Linked DNA regions of Coturnix japonica. The protein of the gene in region 2 interacts with the protein of the main gene of each other region in a biochemical or structural test. Links are inferred from orthologs where the notes say so. Each region holds a gene or a part of one and is shown on either strand. Other genes may lie near its edges. The genes, in order: IRF8 and SPI1.

What was found.
Region 1: the proteins of SPI1 (region 2) and IRF8 form a complex in vitro, tested with the Homo sapiens proteins (3 studies listed by BioGRID). The link is inferred for Coturnix japonica from reciprocal best matches to the Homo sapiens genes SPI1 and IRF8.

Annotation. Positions count from the first base shown.
Region 1 is NC_029526.1:15,660,142-15,664,649, forward strand, and holds the start of IRF8 (interferon regulatory factor 8), read right to left. Parts: upstream 2,872-4,508; 5' UTR 2,864-2,871; coding exon 2,850-2,863; intron 2,780-2,849; exon of another isoform or gene 2,757-2,779; intron 2,727-2,756; exon of another isoform or gene 2,705-2,726; intron 2,636-2,704; coding exon 2,461-2,635; intron 1,609-2,460; coding exon 1,425-1,608; intron 716-1,424; coding exon 627-715; intron 174-626; coding exon 62-173; intron 1-61. UniProt on the Homo sapiens protein: Transcription factor that specifically binds to the upstream regulatory region of type I interferon (IFN) and IFN-inducible MHC class I genes (the interferon consensus sequence (ICS)). Can both act as a transcriptional activator or repressor.
Region 2 is NC_029520.1:20,476,873-20,481,310, reverse strand, and holds the start of SPI1 (transcription factor PU.1), read right to left. Parts: upstream 2,995-4,438; 5' UTR 2,656-2,994; coding exon 2,611-2,655; intron 1-2,610. UniProt on the Homo sapiens protein: Pioneer transcription factor, which controls hematopoietic cell fate by decompacting stem cell heterochromatin and allowing other transcription factors to enter otherwise inaccessible genomic sites.

The DNA.
Region 1 (4,508 bases), on a different chromosome or scaffold from region 2:
TCACAGGCACTGCCCTTGGACAAACAGCTGGGTCCTATAGAACACTCCACACACTACTTACAGGGGCTGGGCTGCTGCATCCACCAGTCTGGTATTGGGGGGTTCCTGCAGGTCTCCTGTGGGGGTGAGGGGCTTCTCTTGATGATCCCCAGATATTCATCCACACAAGGAGGCTGGAGCAGAAGGGGACACCCATTAGGATCAGCCAAGGACAAAAAAAAGCTGGATAGTGCCCAAAGAGGGGTCCGAGAGGCAAAGCAAGAAGGCAAAAGGGATGCCAAGAGGCTGGTGAATGCTTTTTGGTTAGAAAGAGCAAGTTTGGGATTCCCCAGGCTGTGCACTCAAATAACCTCTCAAGAGGCATGGAGCAGAACAGGCCCCACACAGTGCAACGAAGAAAGGGAACAGAAGCACAAGAAGCCTGCAGCCCCCTCCAAACACAAATGCAAACGAAGCATGCTCCAGCCATGAGCAACCACACCGAGACCTCAGACTTGCGCAGATGAATGACCACAGCCAGCACAGCTGCAAAAGCACAGTGCTCTACATGAGGCAGATGTAGCTTTAAGCACCACCAGGCAAGCAGTCTTTGCCTGGTCAGGTCTGCATCCATAGTGGGAGCTCACCTCTTTCATCAGGTCATCGATGGCAGAGGGGCTGCAGTCCATGTCCCCAACATCAGTCAGGCTGCTCCCGTTCCCAACACCGACTTTGCCTGCAGAGAGCAGTGAGGATGATGCAGCAGAGCAGCCGTGGCCTCACCACCAGATTTCAGAAACCCTTCACCCCACGAAAGTTATGAAACTGAGAACCGCAGCAATCCCGCGTTCCTCTTCCCCCCCAGCAGCTGCATTACGGGGCCAGAAACCAGCCTGCAATAAATGGCACTGGTACATAGTGACGAGCAGTAGGGCAAACTAAATTCGGCTTGGGGTTAGAGCAGAGGAGAGGGTGTTTTCTGAGCACCCCAGAGACCGGGGCTGCTTCTCTTTTTGCCATGAGCCGGTGGGAACCTGCAGTGCCATTTGCATACAGGGCCCCCAGTGTAAACACATAGGAGACAAGATGCTACACGCAGATCTCCTGCGTGATTTATCTTGTTTTCTCCCCCTCTCCTCCTTTTTACTAAGACAAAGCTAGCAAGGAGAGAAAGGAAAAACTCCATCACACATCAGAACAACAGCAGAGAGATGCATATTGCAACCTGTGCCATACAGCAGTGGCTGCTCCCTGCTGAGCTGCTGTTTCTATTGGAGTGATAGCAAGAGGGAAGGGATTTATCACAACTCCCTGCCAGGGCAGGTGCTGGGAGGACAAAGCACTGCAGTGATGCAGGACATGCACCCAAGCTATGGGGCCAGCCCCACACTGCTGGCTATAGGTCAGCAGTACCCAGAGCCCATGCCTTTCAATGGAGCACTCACATTTCTGCTCCTCTTCTGGCACGATCCTGTACACCTTGTAGGGCTCAGAGATGTCCAGCTGGGACCTGTCTGTTACCTCCTCAAAGTCAGGGCTCTTGTTCAAGGCACAACGCAGCCGTGTCTTCCAGGTGGCCGGTTCTGCCTTGTCACCTTCTTTGAATTTGCCTTTGAAAACAGCCCAAGCCTAAAGCAAAGCAAGAATGAAATCATTCTCAATATAAGCTCTGCAAATCCCTTTGGACCAAAGAGTGGATGGGCAGCACATCTTGGGCACGTTGCTGCTCACAAACAACTCATAAGTCCCCAAAAGTTCAGGCATTGCCACACAGCCAGCTCTGCACCAGCCACACCACACCAAGCTATGGGAGCTGGAGTTGGTTTCATGGCCCCTCACAATACAGCTCAAACCAAAGCTAAAACAGCAGCATGTGAATTCGTCTCAGCATGGACTGATACAAGGGTGCAGACCCAAGCAATGATGCCCATCCTGACCCAGTAACACCCAAATCCAGACTAAAATACAGCTCACCCCTTCAGCTTTAGACCAGAAACTGCCAGCTGGATTCTTCATTTAATATCTAAATGGCACTTGTGCTTTCACGGGGAGGTGGGAGACTATCTTTTAATATAGATAGCAGATATGAATATATATAAAGCCACCTCTATAACCCATTGCTGTGATCGGTGCCCTGAAAGCCATCAGTCATCGTGAATAAAGCAAGGTATGGGAATGGGGCAAGGTATGGGAATAGAGCAAAGGGAATTCCTGGGGAAGAGCCTGACTTTTTGGTTCAGGACAGAATTTTCCCATTATACCCAATGTGTGAAGTCCCTCCTCTCTGAGAAATAGCTGACGCTTCCTTCCTTCCTTTTCTTTCTTTGGTAAATACACTCTTATCAGAAAGAGCCCATTAGGAAGCTTAGGGCAGGTGACAGAGCATATCAGATAGCCCAGAAACCACTGACAACAGGGCCAGACCACCTCACCTTATAGCCCAGAAACCATTGGTTATAATGACAGACCATCTCATCCTACCTTGAAAATCGAAGCATCCACCTCCTGGTTGTAGTCCTGCTTCCCTGCGTGCTTCCAGGGGATACGGAACATGGTTTTCTCCTCATTCTCCCATATGAGCCCTGGGTATTGCTCACTGTCTATCTGCTCAATCAGCCACTGCCGCAGCCGCCTCCCACCGTTACGGTCACACATCCTGGGGCAGAAATAAGAGCTGTCAGTCTGTCCGTTTATCCCCACACCCTTTTGCAACCCCTCAACTAACAGCAGTCTGGTCTACGAAGATATCTTAACGCATTCTAATAGCTGCCTCTCACTTTCAGGGCATGGAAGCGATCACTCTCTGCTCCACTTTATCACATGCAGCATTGGCCACGTCCCCCTCCGTACACCAAACCTCCCTTTACTACACTGCAAAAGCCATAGCAGCAGTTCTGCAGCCGTTCCCCCATCGCTCCGCCCCAGCCATGTGGGCAGGCACTGGACCGGTGCCCACACCCCATTTACTGAGTATGACGAAAGCTCTCATGAGCCTATCTGCAGCCTGAGCCTATCTGCAGCCTGCGTGGAAGCCCTGCTGGAAGGCACCTTTATCCTCCTCCTGCTGCTGATCAAAGCTCTGGCGCAGCAACAGGCTGCCTTGCAATGGCCCCTCTTTTTGGGGTCAACCCCATAGGAACTGGGCTGTCAGCTAAAGAAGTGATGCTATAGAGGCAGACAGCTCCCAGTACTAAAGCAATGAGGGGGAAAAAAAAAAGACCTAAAAGGGCAAAGCCTCATGCAGCATGAGAACAGCAAGGAGCAGTGCAGGTAGCAGCAGGGTCACCCAACCACATCCTCTCCAGGACAGGACCATGGCCCTGCTGAGGGATGTGAGGTCACCCCACTTCTGGTCTCAGCTCGTTTGTAGCTAAACGGCTTAATGGAGCAGCCATGAGAAAGCCAATTCAGCCCATCTTCTCATCAGCTTGTTCACGTTACCTTCAAACTTCACATCCCAGCACCCAAAGATCCTTCCCGATGCACTGCCAGCACCGTGCAGCCCTATTTCCTACACACCCAAGAGCCCTATAAGCACCACTCCCAGCACCCTGCAGCTTACAACCCATTACCCTGCCTGCTTTACTGTACACACACAGGACCCTCAAACTCCATTCCCAGAGCCCACAGCTCAGCTCCATCCACCCCCAGCACCCTATAAACTCAGCACCTTTAAGCCCTAACCCCCAGCACCCTGCAGCCTCCATTCCATCACCCCCAACCCTATCCCAGCACCACCCTGACCCCACAACCCTAACACCCCCTCCCTTAGCACCCCATGCCCGTACCCTCCTCACTCCCAGCACCCTAAAACCCTACAGACATACACCTTAAAGCCTTATCCCAGCACCGTATACCCCCCACTCCAGCAACCAGCCACCCCCCATGTCTGTACCCTACTCACCCCCACCATCCTAAAACCCTACATACACCTTAAAGCCTTATCCCAGCACTCTACACCCCCACTCCAGCAACCAGAGACCCCAAAGACACCCTAATACCACCCCGATCCCTCCCCACACCCCACAACACACCCCATTAATTACCTTCCACGCACCCCACTCCGCTCCCCTCCGCCCGCGCCCGCACCCTTATAGCGCCCCGCAAGGCGCGCCCTACATCGCCCCGCCCCCTGAGCCTCTCAGCCAATAGGAGCCCTTCCTCCTCCTTTCGCGCCAGTAGGGGGCGCGCGCGCGCGCTTTTCTCCGCAGCTCGTGGTTTTCCGGGAAATCAACATCGTGGAGCGGGGGCGGCTCGTGTCCGTGTGTCCAAAGTCCGTCCGGTCTCATTCCGTCCCATTTTATCTATGTCTTCATCCCCACGCTGCTCCAGGTGCTGCTCAGTCAATCCCAGCCCATTGGCTTTGCTTATATTCCTTAGGCTTAGCACAAGGTGGTCACCCAGATACCCCATAGCAATGTGGACACCAGCTTTGCACCAGCCAAGGGTTTGCACATCTGCAAAGCCCAAAGCACATCATAGCCCAAACCTCAGCTGCAGCTTTGGCTTCCGAGGGGCTTTAATGGGAT
Region 2 (4,438 bases):
TCAGTAAACAGGATTTTATCTGCCACAGACTTTGGTAAATGGTGAGTTGCTTATATCTTCCTTCTCTACTCTGGAAACTCAAGGGAAAAGCCACAGAACTTATTGGAGAAGGTTTGGTTGGCATTAGTTAAGTGCGATACGGGAGATTCAATTGAATAACAATTTGAAAATTGGCCTTGTCAAATGATTCCAGGTGATCATAATTTCACTGAATGCTTTCATTGTTATCCCAATGTAACTATTCACTGGCATGTGATACAGAAATACTCTACATGGTTTCCAACAATGTGCTGCTGACACAAATTTTAAGGCCAAGGTTAACTATATTAACAGTTATATTATATATTAACAGTATAACTATTTTAGAAAAGATGAGTGAAAATGATAACATGATCGCTCATTGGGCCAGCCTTACCAGACCACTGGAGTGAAGCAGTTTTATGGGACAGCAAGCATTGGAGAGGCTTTTTTTTCCTCTCAAGCCTCCATTCAGAGCTGTGACAGATGACTACTTAGGAATTTGGATATGAATAGCTCCCACTTGGAAGGCTTGGGTCCACTTTGCTGAACTCTGTCATAAAAATATTCATAGTCTTTGGAGAAAGATGTGTACTCCTAAACCATTTGAGTAGCATTTTCCAAAGGACGGTCAAGAGTTTCCTAGCAGAGTTGGGAGGAAGGCAGTTATTGACCCACCCTCAACTGAATGGGGAGGGGCAGAGGAGGAAAATGTTGCTTCACAGGAACCCTTGTGTAGAAACAGGGTAATGTCTCTTCTCAGAAAAAGTCCCAAGAGGCACAGACGTTTATAGTGATGCCATGCTTGGGCTGTAACTCACCCTGCTCAGAGTGCACTTGAAACAATTCTGAAAGTACGAAACACAAAAATATTCACTTTTGAATGCATTAATCACAAAAATAAGAAACAAATTACCCCACCAAGTGTTCCTTTAAGATGTAATTGTATTTTACTGCCTGTTGTTTTATTCACCTGACTTTAGCCAAAATACTAATTTCAACAGAAATTAGAATGTGTGTGTGACTATGTTAGAATTTACTCCCAGAATCATAGAATTTCAGGAGCTGGAAAGTTGTTGAGGCCAACCCCCCAGATTGTTCAACGTATGAACTGGAATTCAGTACTTTAAAAAAGAGTACAGGAAAGTTGGCTTTGAGTGAATGAGTAGACAGAAAATCATCAATAATAATAAAACTGAGATGCTGCTTGCTGGAGTAGTTGAGGACAAGGTTTGGGTGCTTTTGAAGGGGATTTTTGTTAAGCTCACCAAGTAACATATTGAGAAATTTATACTCTTTCTTTTTTTTTTTTTTTTTTTCCCTATACTCTCAATTTTTTTGGATGCTTATGCTGACATATTTTCAAAAATTAAAGAAGATTTTTAGAGTCTTCTCACACTTTGGGTAAATAGTGAACTTTAAGGTCACCACTGATTAACTGCTAGAATAAACAATCTCCCAAATGTAAGAGGCAAGTATTTTTTTCAATCAATATAGATTCCAGACAGAAAAGAAATTCAAATAACCAGGGAGTTTGTTTTTTTGTTTTTTCTGGAGATCTGAAGATAAGGAAATATGGCTTTACTTTCTTTAGGTGGGGCAATAGAAAAAGTGAATATGATGTGCGTTTTGTTAAAAGGACTGTTGGTTGGGCCTTGTCTTTTTTTCACATAAGCAAGTACTGTAAGTTATCTACCACATTAAAAAGGGGGGGGGGGGGGGAAGAAAAAGAAAAAAAGAAAAAGAAAGCCAATTAAAGCACCCTATCTGATATCACTCTAGGTTATACAAACTTCATAAAATCTTGTTAGGGCCTCTTTGTCCCATTTTTCTTAGAAATGCCCCGTGAAGGTTTGTCTCTCAATGACAGGCTGGTGCCATTACATTTTTTATAAAACTAATCTTCAAACTCATGGTAGAATACATTACAACAACATCCCGATGCTTCAGTGTTATTAAAGAAAAAGAAAAAAGGAAAAAAGATAGAACTAGTCTTGTTATCATCCGGAAGAATCTGCATCTAACAGAAAATATTGAAAGGCCCAATTAAGCACAGTGGAGTTTTTTTCATCATTCTCCAGTTACTTTTTTACAACAAGTGAATTCAAGAAAATTCAGATTCAAAAGAAGGTGAAGGCAGAGACTAAAACACCATCAGTACAAAGAGCACAGAGTCCAAAAACCAACAGTACTTAAAATCAGTATTCAACAACTCTGACTGGTAGAAAGTTAATTACGCGAATTATAACAGTCTCCAGATTATGAAAAATTACAGCTTAAAGCAAGAGTTGGCCTAATACCACAAAGCTGGCACTTGTACTGGCTTGCCATATGCATATCATACAGAACTAGTGTACATTTAATCTGTGAAAGCAAATGGAGATCAAGATCCGATATAAGCGTAGGAAGGAAACATTAATTTCCCATTCATTGTAATGTTGTCCCAAGCTTTATATATTCACCCGAACCTGTTTTCCCAGCATTACAAATGTAGACCAAAAGAGGACAATCTCAAATATTAAAATCTGGTTTACTTTGTCTTTTGCTACTAAACCCAATGATCCACATTAGAAATAAAGCCCGCATACTCACAGGGGGAATGAGGGGAAATCCTTCCATTTTGCAAGCTTGCAACATTCAGCCAATTTCAGAGTGAATTTTTCTTAATTCAGTTTTCAAACATCCAGAATAACTGACTTGAAAAATCACATGAAACAAACAAAACAATGAAGAGAAAAAAGAAGGAAAAAAAAAAAAAGAACAAAAATGAGATCCTTGGACTCCGCAAAGTCCCTTTGCAGTGGTGGATCTCAGGATAGGAGAATAACCCTAACAAGTTTTCATAGTTTGCCCTAATAGGTTCTGAGGTGAACTTCTTTCCAAGTTGTATTTGAAGTTCCTGATTTTATCAAATGTCTGTAGAAGGGAGATAGCCCTTGGGTCTATCAGTGCGCTGTGACATCATCACAGCTTTGAGTTTGCATAAATCTCATTTCAGGGAGCTGTGGCGCTCTAACAGGAAGTCTGCCCCAAGCCAGATCTGCCATGGGCAGGTGCTTGCTGTATAATCAGCAACCCAGTGCCTGGGCCTGCTACCAATAAACAAGTCTATGGGTACAGTGTGCTGTGGTAAGCCTGTGTACTTCCAGCTGTGGAGGAACCAAATAATGGTGCTGCTTAATGATCACAGAGCCTGACAACTTTTGTGAGGATAGAACAGTGGCATAGACTTGTTTTAGTAACAGTGCTGTATTGGAATTAAGAGAAAAGAAAGAAAAGAGTATGTAGCGTCATGTACACATTCTCAAATATTCAAAAAAAAAAGAAAAAAAAAAAAAGAAAGAAAAAAACAAAACTACAAAACAACAACAACAAAAACAAATCAAAACCCCAAGCCTTCCCCCCCCCTTTTTTTTCTTTTAAATTTGGTTTTTAATGTTAAAATATAATTTTCTATAAAACCAATGTTTTGTAGAAACTGAGCCCGCTAGACTTTCTCCATAGAATTTGCTACAGATCAAAATTATTTAGAGAAAAATACTAAGTCTTCTTGTTGTGATTTCTTTCTAGGCACCGCACGGATAAAAAAAGTGGGAAAGGAGAAAGCATTATATGCCCCATGTAATGGCTTGACTTCTCAGAGTGCCTTTAACAGTGAGTAGAGAATAAGGTTTGTAGATTGGTATCTGAATGGCTGGATTATGAAATTGCATGTAGAAATTTTGCTTAAACTCTATGCACAAGTTCTTTCCCCTTTCTCGCTCAACACTGCATAGGCTACAGTGAGCACGTGCCCTTCCCACCAAGGTTCAGTCAGAGGCAGGGGTGAGTGGGTCACAGTGCAGGACGTAAAGGATGGGGCCTTGCTGCAATGGGAGAACTCTCATTCTGCAAAATGCCTTCTTGCTTTGCAAATAGTTACTGATATTTTGGAAAAGTGAAGTTGCTTTCTCTGGGTTGTTCCCCTTCAATATGTGCCCATGTGCCACAGGTTCTGCTTTTGAAAGTAGGCTGTTCACCACTCACCTGGGTCTATGTGTGAGGGGGAGTTTTAGCCACTACAACTTCCTCCCTCATACACTGGTAAAACCAGAGGCTACTCATAAGTTCCTCTCATTCCCCACCCTAAGGAACCAAACAAGCAAACCATGTTAGCAATGGGATAAGATCAAAACACGATGGGAGATTAACTTTTGATGCCTAAGGCTGAATTTCACTGTCATCAGTTGATACATAACCATTTCATTCTTAGATTGTTTGCACCATGTAATCTTGGCATTAACCTTGAAATAAACAAGCTCATAAATGGTCCATTTCTGCTTCAGAGATTATTGTCAAGTCTCCTTTTGGATGAAAGCTTAGAATTGGTCAGATCTATCTTGGGAAACAGGAAAGTGACAACATTACAGTCCTAATGATA